Linked DNA regions of Ovis aries. The protein of the gene in region 1 purifies or fractionates together with the protein of each later gene. This does not show direct contact. Links are inferred from orthologs where the notes say so. Each region holds a gene or a part of one and is shown in the gene's direction. Other genes may lie near its edges.

Region 1 (4,330 bases):
ATCCCTGGGTTGGGAATATCCCTTGGAGAAAGAAATGGCAATCCACTCCAGTATTCTTGCCTAAAGAATTACATGAACGGAGGAGCCTGGCAGGCTACAGTCCATGGTGTCTCAAAGAGTTGGACACGATTGATTGGCTCTTAGGAAAAATTAGGTCAGAAATATATACCTCTTTTAAATAGTAGGCAGTTGCTCTGGAGTATAAGGCTTCTTAGCTGGACTGAAGGCTGAGGGGGGAAAAAAAGGTTATTCTGCTGTTAAATTTGCTAGTTTGCATTGCTATTTCAATCTTTACAGAATTCCTGTCTTTTTGTTGTTTCAAATGCTTTCAAAACATTGTTCAGATAACTATAAAACTAAAAACAGTGGTTAGGAGCGCTTTAAGAGGGATTGACTTTAACAGAAGTCACCCTTATCATCAAAAAACATTTCCGGGGATCTGCTGGTTCTGGGCACCAGTACGCTTCATATGGTCAAGATCAAGGTCTCTACCTGTTCTCTGGGCTTCACTTGTGCTTCAGATGGTAAAGAATCTGCCTGCAATGCAGAAGACCCAGGTTCAATCCCTGGGTCGGGAAGATGACTTGGAGAAGGAAATGACAACCCACTCCAGTATTCTTGCCTGGGAAATCCCATGGACAGAGAAGCCTGGTTGGCTATAATCCATGGGGTCACAAAGAGTAGGACACGACTGAAGCAAATTCACACCTGCCCTGTGTGAGGTAACACTTTGGGTACGGTGCAGACACACAGTGAAAGAGCCAGCTAGGTTGTAGGGGCAATGAGATGGGAGATGGGGTAAAGGCAGTGTACCCAACTTGCTTGGGTGCAGGGGTGGGGAGAGGGCTGGAGTTGGCCAGGTTTGCCAAAGTTAAGTTTGGTAAGATTGATGGAGATGGAAGGTAGAGGGAAGTTGGGACGGGTTAGAAAACGCTGGGGGTGTTAACAGAAAGAGGAAAGATAAGCCGTGTAGACAGAGTCACTCAAGACCAGGCTCCACTGCAAAGCATTCACTCAAACGTCACTTAGGTGCCCCTGTGTCAGGCACGGATTTGGTCATCGGTGTTACAGTGATGAAGGTGACAGAGGGCCCTCAGGTGGGCGTGAGTGAGGCGTGTGAAAGGAGCAGACGTGAGGGCCAGTGTGGCTGAAGCAGGGGAACCAAGGAGCAGCAAAGTAGAGCCCATGGCCAGCTGGTCAGGCAGGGCCCGAATCTTGCAGGGCTCTGCAGGCCGTGATTAGGGATTTCGGTTTTATTCCGAGCGCGGCAAAATGACGTTCCATTCATTCTGCAACAGTCTTAGGAACTAAGCGGCCTTATCCCAGTTTTACTGACGAGGACGATCAGGGTGGGGTTAGGTAATTTGTTCACGGTCAGTTGCAGGCGAAAAGGGGCTACAAACACCAGCCGGATCTCCCTGCCCCGGGCCTTCCCCGCAAGGCCCGAGTCTTCCCCGCAAGGCCAAGTAGGAACGGCCCGGAGTGGCCCAGGGTGCGGGCAGGCGTGCGCCTCGGCGACAACGCGCATGCGCCGCTGCCTACGGAAGCCGGGAGGGAGGGGGCGGGGCCGACGCTGGCGGGCGCGGGGGAAATGGCGGCGACGGCGGCAGCGGCGAACGGGACTGGAGGGAGCAGCGGGATGGAGGTGGATGCTGCAGGTAACGGGCCGTGCGGGGGCGGCTTCTGGAGACTTCCTGGCGGGCCTGTCGAGGCCTTCCTAGAGTCCCGGGAGCAGTCGGGATGGCGAGCCGGCAGCGAGCTCCCTGGGTTAACTTGCGGGAGGGATGGATGGCCCGACTTTGCCGTCTCCCGTTCCCGGCTCCCGGGAGGAACGTGGGGCCTGGACTCTCACCCCCTCTTTCCCCTCCTTAGTCGTCCCCAGCGTGATGGCCTCCGGAGTGACTGGCAGCGTTTCAGTCGCTCTTCATCCCCTCGTCATTCTCAACATCTCAGACCATTGGATTCGCATGCGCTCGCAGGAGGGGCGGCCTATGCAGGGTGAGTGTTCGGCGTCATTCTCCAGCCTCCTCCCCTCAAATAGTGGTCCTTTCTCCTTCCTTTGCTGAAGCTAGTTCCTCCTCCGCAAATCATTTCTCTAGTACTTGGTTCACGTGACCTCAGACCCTCAGGCTATTATTAGAGAAGTTTGAGGATTCCTTTAGTGTTAGTCGCTCAGTCTTTGTGACTCCATGGACTGTAGCCCACCAGGCTCCTCTGTCCTTGGAATTCTCCAGGCAAGAATGCTGGAGTGGGTTGCCATTCCCTTCTCCAGGGGAATCTTCCTTACCCAGGGATTGAACCCAGGTCTCCTGCATTGCAGGCGGATTCTGTACCATCTGAGCCACCAGGGAAGTCCTGGAGGAGTCCTCACCCTCACCTCTTCTGTGTCCTTTTCTCCTCCAGTTATTGGGGCTCTGATCGGGAAGCAGGAGGGCCGAAATATTGAGGTGATGAACTCCTTTGAACTGCTGTCCCACACCGTGGAAGAGAAGATTATCATTGACAAGGAATATTATTACACCAAGGAGGAGCAGTGTGAGAGGGGAATAGACGTGGGGGAGAAGAGTGGGAGTAGGGGAGAAAAGAATGGGGAAGATGGAGAGGGTTGGGGAAAAAATAAACAGAGAAATAGGACCAGAGTAGAGGAATAATGAAGAGAGAGTAGCTGAAGAGACCTTAGAAAAAGAACACATATGGGTTATTCCTCGCAAAGAAAGCAAGGAGTGAGAAAAGACAGAATAGATTAGTTGTTCTACGTGGAGCCAGGATGGGAAGGGGAGAAGCTGGTAAAAACACACCAGGAGTTTCAAATTGAAGGATGATTTAAAGATATACTGTGTGTCCTGGCCCCTTTCTCTCCAGTTAAACAGGTATTCAAGGAGCTGGAGTTTCTGGGTTGGTACACCACAGGTGGGCCACCTGACCCCTCCGACATCCACGTCCATAAGCAGGTATACACGTTCACACAGGTACATATTGGGGTGGAGACGAGAGAATGAGGGGAAGGAAGATGGACCCTGACACACATGTGCATCCTCCCTTCTTCCAGGTGTGCGAGATAATTGAGAGCCCTCTGTTTCTTAAGTTGAACCCTATGACCAAGCACACAGATGTGAGTACAGTGACCCCGTGCCCACTTTGTCCTGCCTGCCTGTCGCTCTGCCCCTGCTTTTATTGTATGACATCTCTGTTGAATCTTTTTGCAGTTTACCATCTGTGAGACTTGTCATTTAACCTTTAAACTGCATTTTCCCCGCATGTGAAAATGGGAATGAGTTCCACTTCAGTAGGTCCTTGGGAAGATTAGCTGAGGAAATGTAATGTGAAAAGGGCCCAGTCCGGTTTTGGTGCTTAGTGTAGGTTCAGGTGTCTGATGTTTAGTTAAGAGCTGTGCTCTCTCTTCTTCACAGCTTCCGGTCAGCGTTTTTGAGTCAGTCATAGATATAATCAATGGAGAGGTAGGTAATGCCCTACCCTTCAACCCACACAGCCTGCCCCTGGGGTCTGCTGCTTTTGACTCTGTGTGTCCCATAGGCCACCATGCTGTTTGCTGAGCTGACCTACACTCTGGCCACAGAGGAAGCAGAACGCATTGGGGTGGACCACGTGGCCCGAATGACAGCAACAGGCAGTGGAGAGAACTCCACTGGTAAGGGTGGCTGCAGGGGCTTCCTTAGAAGTGGGGGGAAGGTGTGGCCACACACCTTCTCAACTTCAGCCTGACCACCCCCCCAGTGGCTGAACACCTCATCGCACAGCACAGCGCCATCAAGATGCTGCACAGCCGCGTCAAGCTCATCTTGGAGTACGTCAAGGCCTCTGAGGCAGGTAGGACAGTTATCTCCCTGGTCCCTGAAGCACGTTTGCTCTCCCTCCTGGGGAAGTGACAGCATCCGCATTGATGCAGCTTCTTGTGCCTTCAGGCGAGGTCCCCTTTAACCATGAGATCCTGCGGGAGGCCTACGCTCTGTGTCACTGCCTCCCGGTACTCAGCACAGACAAGTTCAAGACAGACTTCTACGATGTGAGTGCAAGGCTCAGGATGGGGAGGTGGGGCTCCTGCTGTCTTCTGCATGCAGGATATGACCGGCTCCTGTTCCCTGGTCACATGGTGGGGGACCCAGAGCTCCTGGGAAACTTTGTTTTTTTTCTGTCCCCTCACAGCAATGCAATGATGTGGGGCTCATGGCCTACCTTGGCACTATCACCAAGACGTGCAACACCATGAACCAGTTCGTGAACAAGTTCAACGTCCTCTATGACCGACAAGGCATCGGCAGGCGGATGCGGGGGCTCTTTTTCTGACGAAAGGGTACTTGAAGGGCTGACG
Region 2 (4,230 bases), on another chromosome or scaffold:
TTTAATAACTGGTCACTGAATCTGTTAATTAATTTTAAAACTTTGAATAATATTTACTCCAAACATTGACGATCATGGTAGAGAGTCTTGAAAGTTAATGAAAAGAAATGTTACAAAGACTTACCTGCAGTAAATGAAACAATGGACCTTAAGTGAAATTGATGAAATCTCCTTTTCCTTACTAGAGAGGAATAGTAACCAAACACAGAGTGGGAGCCTAAACTGGATTCTTTATATTAAAAACAAAAAAAGCCTATAAAATACAGTTGGGGGTAATTAGAAAAAATTGGACATGAACTAGATAATGGATGATATTAAGGAATTATTGCTGATTTTCTTAAGGGTTATAATGGTATGGTTATCTAGGAGAATCTTATTTTTAGAAAATTCTTGGCAAAGTAGTGTCCAACTCTTTGTGACCCCATGAACCACAGCATGCCAGGCCTCCCTGTCCATCACCAACTCCCGGAGTTTACTCAAACCCATGTCCATTGACTCAGTGATACCATCCAACCATCTCATCCTCTGTCATCCCCTTCTTCTCCCACCTTCAATCTTTGCCAGCATCAGGGTCTTTTCTAGTGAGTCAGTTCTTCGCATCAGGTGGCCAAAGTATTGGAGTTTCAGCTTCAGCATCAGTCCTTCCAATGAATATTCAGGACTGATTTCCTTTAGGATGGACTGGTTGGATCTCCTTGCTCTCCAAGGGACTCTCAAGAGTCTTTTCCAACACCACAGTTCAAAAGCATCAATTCTTCGGTGCTCAGCTTTCTTTATGGTCCAACTCTCACATCCATACGTGACTACTGGAAAAACCATAGCTTTGCCTAGACGGACCTTTGGCAAAGTAATGTCTCTGCCTTTTAATATGCTGTCTAGGTTGGTCATAACTTTTCTTGAAGTACGCTGTTAAAAAAATGTCTACACACGTTTTATATAGCTAAGGCAAACATGACAAAATTAAGCATGTGATAAACCAGTTACTGTTTTATTCTTCTTTCTACTGTTCTCCATGTTGAAACTTTTCTAAATAAGAAAAGACTATTCATCTCCTTTATATTACTTTATGGTTCACAGTATTTGTGTTGTGACTTTATGTATAATTTTAAATGCTTACTCCTTATATCCTTGGAGGACATGGAGAGAATTGGTGCCCGAGTTGGGGGTGGGCACCACATCAGTGGTTAAGGGTATGAAAGAGAGATGAGACTAGGCGGATGGATGTGGATGGAACCCCTGGCGAGGCTGGCTTACAGGCTTGTGCTTCCTCCATCCTTGGGCAGATGTGACGTTTAAGTTGGACGATGGAGCCATCAGTGCCCACAAACCGCTGCTGATCTGTAGCTGCAAGTGGATGGCTGCTATGTTCGGGGGGTCATTTGTCGAAAGCGCCAACAGTGAGGTAGGTGCCTTCCGAAAAGCCCAAGCGGCATCTTAATGAATATGTATGTGTATTTGTATTAGAAAGTGTTGCCAGAGGACTTCGATTCTTTAACTGCTAACTTGGAAGACTTTTTTAGGCAATACCTGAGTATCACGTCACCCTCTTTCCATAATTCTGCAATTACAAGAAGCCTGTTGTTCACTTGCTATGTGTGAACCCCCAAGTCCCCCCATATCCTTTCATCCTCACAGGGTTCCTCATCCCTGAAAACATGTACAGATATATTTTTTAACAAATGTCACCAGGCAAGGTACTATCAAAATCCCCTCAAAGAAGGGGCACACTGTCTTACAGAAGTTGGAGACAGTGAAAAGTGTCTTCAGTCACTTAAACCTGGGCTTGACTCTGCCAACAACAGATGAGGGACCTTAAAAAGCCGCCTTCCTGTGCCTCAATCTCCTTATCCTAAAGGTGAGAGATGTACTGAGTCATGCTCAAGGTCCCCTTGATCTGTGATAGTCCCTGAGGCTCTCCGCCCTGACGGGCCTCAACTCTAGGGTTTGTCACCTCTAGGGAAACAGAGATGGAGCAAAGGGCCTCTCAGAGTGCTTGTCACATCTAGTAGAAGCCACTGGGTCACTTGTCAAATGCTGGCCCTATCTCCAACAAAGGGATATTATTAGAGCAAGCAGCAGCTTGGAGACCTTGTATCTCCACCTCTTCACAGGCTGTTGGGAAAGAAAGAAAAATTCCCTTCAAGCATTTCTAACTTGTGTCTAGAGGTAAACATGTTTTGTTGAGTTTGGCAAATATTTCTTATCCATCTTTTAAAAATATATTTGGGGACACCACATAAAGCTTATTGTCCTAATGGGCTTATTTTTGCTTATCTCAACATCTCTCCAAACTTTTAACGGAAACACAGAAAACAGTAACTAACTTCAAAGGGGAGCCCTCACACTAGAAATCTGAGCACTCCCTTTGTGACCCAGGAGCCTGCATTTGCATCCCCAAGTAGGGAAACAGAATCCTGTAATCACAAGCCAGGATGGATGGCTGTCAGTAGGCCACCCTCCTGCTTTCAGAACAGACTGCAGCTGCTCCTAAACCAACCTCCAGCCGAAGACTGTCTGCTGTCTGGGGAAAAGATGTTAGAATTATCCTGATGACCTCTTCTGATGTCTGCCAGCCTTCGTAAACCAGGAGGTCCTCACCTGCAGCTAAATGAAGTCTTTCCTCTACCATCAAAGGTGTCTGGGAGCATCATTACTAAGACCACAGCAACTGGTAGAGGCTACCCAGTGAAGGGACTGTGGGGCTCAGATCCCTGACTCCTCTGCATACAAGCTGTTTGGCCTTGGGCCAGTGATCACCTTTCTGAGCTCCAGCCTCCCTATCTGGAAAATGTGATCAGAACCCGTAATGTGGTTGCGAGGTGTGAGTGTCAGTACCTGTGAAGCACCTCATAAGCACTAAATGCAAAATAACATCAGCCTTATGTGGATGCTGGCGGCATTGATGGTATTCTTTCCCTCTTTGTCAAGAAAATTGGGGGACGCCGCCAATTAATAAAGCCTCATCCAACTGGCACAGCACCACCTTCAGTAATCTCTCAAGATAAAAGAGCCCCAAGACTCGCTTCCCCTCTTTTTCCAGCTTGCCGAAGTATGTGCCCAAGGATACCTGCTTGTCACCTGGCAGGGAGCAGTTGATCGAGGTCCAGGGTCCAGGCATAAAGAGACACTGTCAGAGCTGACCTCACTGATGCTAATCCCCTTTATCCCTTCTCAGCATGGATTGTAATTGTCTCCAGATTAAAATGTGCAGGAGAGATGACCAAAACAGAAACTTGGCGGCCGATGTGAATGCACACGGGTCTGTTCGTGTGACAGCCTCTCCCTGGGGTGGCGTCTGTTTAGCATCACCCTGCCCACCCCCCTCCCCACCTCAAGGACTAGGTTGCTCACCACTTAGAACTACAGCTGAGCCTGATACAGATGTGTAGTTTCAACCCAGCTCAAAACACAAAGGCCATGGAACCGAGCTACCAGAAGTCTATACCAAGACACCTAGTATATGAAGAATGGCGTGAGCTGTGGATGTGTCCAGCCTTTCCTGCTCCCACTCATGCCCAGGGTACACGGAAGTGTTCTGTTATATAGTTATGAACTTTAGTCTCAGCTTGAGCTTGGGCAAGTGACCGACCCTCTTTAGACCTGCGTCCTCATCTCTAATATGGGGACCACAAGAGAACCATCTCCAAAGGGCAGGTCAGTCATGAAAGTATGTGTGTAAAGCATCAAATTCGATGCCAACATACAAAGGCTCAAGTGATGTCAATGAGTATTTTCCTGGAGGATTCTTGTTAAATTGTTTCCATGAGGAGTTCAAGGCCTTTGTCCCCTGAAAGTCCTCAGGTAACAAACAAGCCACCTAGTCCCTTCCTAAACTGGCAGAGTGTGGTAGAGATGGTTATGGAGGTAAGAAGAGGTCCTTGGGTGAAGTCTGCGTAAATGCACGATGGTTAATTCAGGCCTGTATATGCGTGGGCCTGTGCTTTCGAGGCCGCCTTTTTGTTCTTTGTTGTTTTGTGTAAATCTGATGTCCCCCACAAAATTCAACCTTTTTAAATCTGATGTCCCCCACAAAATTCAACCTTTTTTTTTTGCATTAATAGAATTCACACGCATATCCAGAAAGGAATAAAATATGCCCACTGATGTTCTTTTAACTTTTTTTTTGTCATTTAATATTTAAGACACTGTATTTTACTTCTATTTTTCTCATTACTTTTAATGTAGCAGTAAGCATAATTCTCTCCCCAGAGGTACTCAGCAAGTGGTTCA
Region 3 (3,491 bases), on another chromosome or scaffold:
AACTTTTTTCAGTTGATGTAACTCAAATTTAACTTTTCTTTTAAAAATTACAGATCATTGAATATGAAAAAAAACAAACACTGGGACAAAACGATACTGGATTCAGTTGTGATGGAACTGCTAACACATTCAGGGTCATGTTCAAAGAACCCATAGAGATCCTGCCCAACTTGTGCTACATGGCATGCGCAACACTCAAAGTAAGAGTCTTCCTGAATGTTCTACCTGGTGAGCTGCGGGGCCTGGGGTTTCATCCTTCTTGCTGCAGAGTACATGTTTCAGTAGCAGCTGAGAGTCATTCAAAATACATCCTTGGCGGAAGCAGGGAAGGCAGGAAGCTGGGAGCTAAATTGTACCACGGCTTTGAGAAAAGCAGTGCCTCTCAGCACAGCTCTGCTTGGGAAGAAATGGTTAGTTCTCCACAAGAATCTAGTAGCCCCTTTGAGCAGGAGATTGCAAGTTTAATAGAAGATAAAACAGTTTTTCTTAAAACCATTTCACTGTTCTCTAATACCCGAGCTCTGCGTTCAGTATTTTTAGTCATTAATTAGCTTGTAGCAGAAACAACATTTTTCAGTAAATGACTTGGCATGCATTTTTATCCAAGAGCTATAAAGAAATAAAGTAGATCGTTAATCTAATTGAAATGCCACGTCCAGTTGAGTGCTTATTAAATAAAATTACTAATGAACCGTTTGCTCTCATTTAGGGTCCAGATTCCCACTATGGCACAAAAGGACTGAAGAAAGTGGTGCATGAAACACCTACTGCTAGCAAGACTGTCTTTTTCTTTTTTAGTTCTCCTGGCAATAATAATGGCACTTCAATAGAAGATGGGCAAATACCAGAAATAATATTTTATACATAATTCAGCTTTATAACATCCAGCTGAACAATACCTAATTCAGCGTTACAATACATCCTGGCTAAACAGTACCATGCAGTCTAGTCTCAATGGCATAAAGAACTGGTCACAAAAAAGAGATTGAGTGTTATGAATATTTATAACTGTAAGATAAGAGACATTTTGGTTTCTTAGGTAAATAAATGTGACTTAAATCTCTGCATGATTTAACGGGTGATTTCCATTTTCTTATAACCTTAAGGGAAAAAAGAATGGGTTTAATTGTTTAAAAAAAAACAGCTATTTCAGCTTTATCTTGTATAATTTCTTAGATCAGCTGACTCATGATATTTCAGCAGTTTTATAATTGAAAGATTCTTGTTTTATGTAGCTTGTTTGTGTTTTTTGTTTGTTTTTATTTGAACTATTTTGAAGGTTACATAAGATGAGGTAGGTCAGTATTTCCACAGAATTCCTACTAAAGTTAATTTTCAGAAAATGAAGAAAGCTGACTTCATCCTTGGAGTTTTGAAATATCTGGTTGTTAGTATTTGGCATAGTGCTAGAAATAGGCTTAACAAATGCCTCAGAAAATTTTGAGTGCATTTATAGAAAAAATATTTCATAATAGTCTAGTAATATATTACATAGTACAGTTTTAATCAATAAAATTGAATTTGTACAAATTCACAGTAATCTGTTATGAACAGAGGATCTAAAGATGTACTTTAAGGCTGGATTCTTTATCACTTAATCTTTATCACTTAAAGTTTATAGTATATATAAACTATACCCATCTCTCTGAATGAGGCATGCTGTTGAGAATTCCCAAAATTGAAATGATGATGGTGATGGTGGTGGTGCCTGGCTAAACAGACATCATCAATTCGACATTTGGTGATAATCTTACAAAAGGAGGAATGGAATGAAATACTAACATCTCTAACAACTGCTTTGATATCCAACAAAATCACACCTGCTGGAAAATATACTTTCTGAACACCTACATAGTTCTATCCAAGAAATAAGATTTAATATTTATGACCTCACTGTCACAGGTGCAGCTGCCTTAGGAGGGGATGGGAAGTATATTGGCAGGATGACATTTATACACTTTTATAAAGCAAAATTTTTATATAAATAACTTTTTCTTTGCCTTGAAAATGATTATCTCATTACAAATGTATGTATAATTAAGCTCTATCAAATAGTTGTAGAAGATGTGCAGAAAATCATAATTCTTTTTAGTATCAACTTAAAAAGAATTTTTTCTAAATGGTAATTAGGATAAAATTTCCATCCAAAGTAGTATATCACTTGATATTTTCATGAAGATAGGGAGGTGTGTTGGCAGCAGAGGTCTCTTAAAATGGCTTGAGGAAAAGGGAAATTTTTCCCTATCTGGTAATATGATCGTAAGACTGTAAACCTCAGTTAACTGGAATAACTCTGAAATGTGTGGTCTGGTAAACTGAAGATTAACCGGCAAAAACTCTTCAGTTTTGCTGGAAAATACAACTGCAGAAAATACTTCTGCCTTAAAAAGTACAGTATGCCAGAGGTAAGTTAATGTTGTTTGACGCTTGAGGTATTTCAGTTGCCTCCAGTGTGTTACACTGAACGATTGTAACTGAAAGTAGTCATAGAAGGGACAAGAAATGGAACAGTTTACTGATATGGGACATCCCCTGGAATTATAAATAAATATCTATTATCCTTTTATTTTTTGTTACTTGTCTTTTTTTCTAAAAGTGTTTGCTGGTCAGTTGTGTCTGACTCTTTGTGACCCCATGGACTGTGGCCCACCAGGCTGCTCTGTCCAAGAGATTCTCCAGGCAAGAATACTGGAATGGGTTGCCAGAGGCACTGTTTTTGAATCAAAGTTCTAGTTAATTGAGGTTTAGCATTATTTTTGTTTATGTGTGTGTACATGCGCTCAATTGCTCAGTCAGCATCTGACTCCTTGCAGACCCATAGACTGTAGCCCACCAGGCTCCTGTGTCCACGGGATTTTCCAGGCAAGAATACTGGAGTGGCTTGTCCACTCATCCTCCCCACCCCAGCCTGGTCAGCTCATTGCAGAATAGGCCACATTTGAGAATTCCTTGGCCTTGATAATAGGTTGGAGTGAGGGGACAGAGCACAAAGGCTGTGGACATTTAAATTTTTTTAAACGCTGGTGCCAAAGAATTTCTGCCCAAAGGGAAAAAAGAACAGGAGAGGGTCAACCGAGCTTTCAGAATAAACAGATCTGGATTTAACAAGAGAAACTTTTTTTTTCCCCCAGCATGTCTGTGGACTGCCATCTATTTGATGGCCATTTGGAGATCATTTCAAGTCCATTCTGTAATTGTTTTCTTGCTAACCTTCCTTTATGCAAAAAAATGATAATACAGTTAGGATGCTTTCAAAAGTCCCCAGGGAAATTAATTTGTTTACAGGATTGTGTATTGTATGGTTAAACCAACAAGGAGAACAGAGGCTTTCTCTATGCTGCACTGAAACCACTGCTCTGCGAGGTCACAGGCCCACAGATACTCAGGGCCTCAGTAAGCTCAACAGGTGCTCTGTTTTGTTTTTTTTTTTTTTTTAATTTTTGTTTTCTTCACAGTTTTTAAAATTAATTTTTATTGGAGCACAGTTGTTT

What was found.
Region 2: the proteins of COPS6 (region 1) and RHOBTB1 purify together in Homo sapiens (affinity purification with mass spectrometry; 4 studies listed by BioGRID and IntAct, counting the BioPlex papers as one, with this or other methods). This does not show direct contact. The link is inferred for Ovis aries from reciprocal best matches to the Homo sapiens genes COPS6 and RHOBTB1.
Region 3: the proteins of COPS6 (region 1) and BTBD1 purify together in Homo sapiens (affinity purification with mass spectrometry; 3 studies listed by BioGRID and IntAct, counting the BioPlex papers as one, with this or other methods). This does not show direct contact. The link is inferred for Ovis aries from reciprocal best matches to the Homo sapiens genes COPS6 and BTBD1.

Annotation. Positions count from the first base shown.
Region 1 is NC_056077.1:36,794,629-36,798,958, reverse strand, and holds the start of COPS6 (COP9 signalosome complex subunit 6), read left to right. Parts: upstream 1-1,578; 5' UTR 1,579-1,591; coding exon 1,592-1,658; intron 1,659-1,872; coding exon 1,873-1,998; intron 1,999-2,403; coding exon 2,404-2,535; intron 2,536-2,862; coding exon 2,863-2,951; intron 2,952-3,049; coding exon 3,050-3,112; intron 3,113-3,410; coding exon 3,411-3,458; intron 3,459-3,534; coding exon 3,535-3,649; intron 3,650-3,735; coding exon 3,736-3,828; intron 3,829-3,923; coding exon 3,924-4,024; intron 4,025-4,164; coding exon 4,165-4,305; 3' UTR 4,306-4,330. UniProt on the Homo sapiens protein: Component of the COP9 signalosome complex (CSN), a complex involved in various cellular and developmental processes.
Region 2 is NC_056078.1:15,924,162-15,928,391, reverse strand, and holds part of RHOBTB1 (rho-related BTB domain-containing protein 1), read left to right. Parts: intron 1-1,283; coding exon 1,284-1,402; intron 1,403-4,230.
Region 3 is NW_024599827.1:1,672,110-1,675,600, forward strand, and holds the end of BTBD1 (BTB/POZ domain-containing protein 1), read left to right. Parts: intron 1-53; coding exon 54-551; 3' UTR 552-709; coding exon of another isoform or gene 710-868; 3' UTR 869-2,566; downstream 2,567-3,491.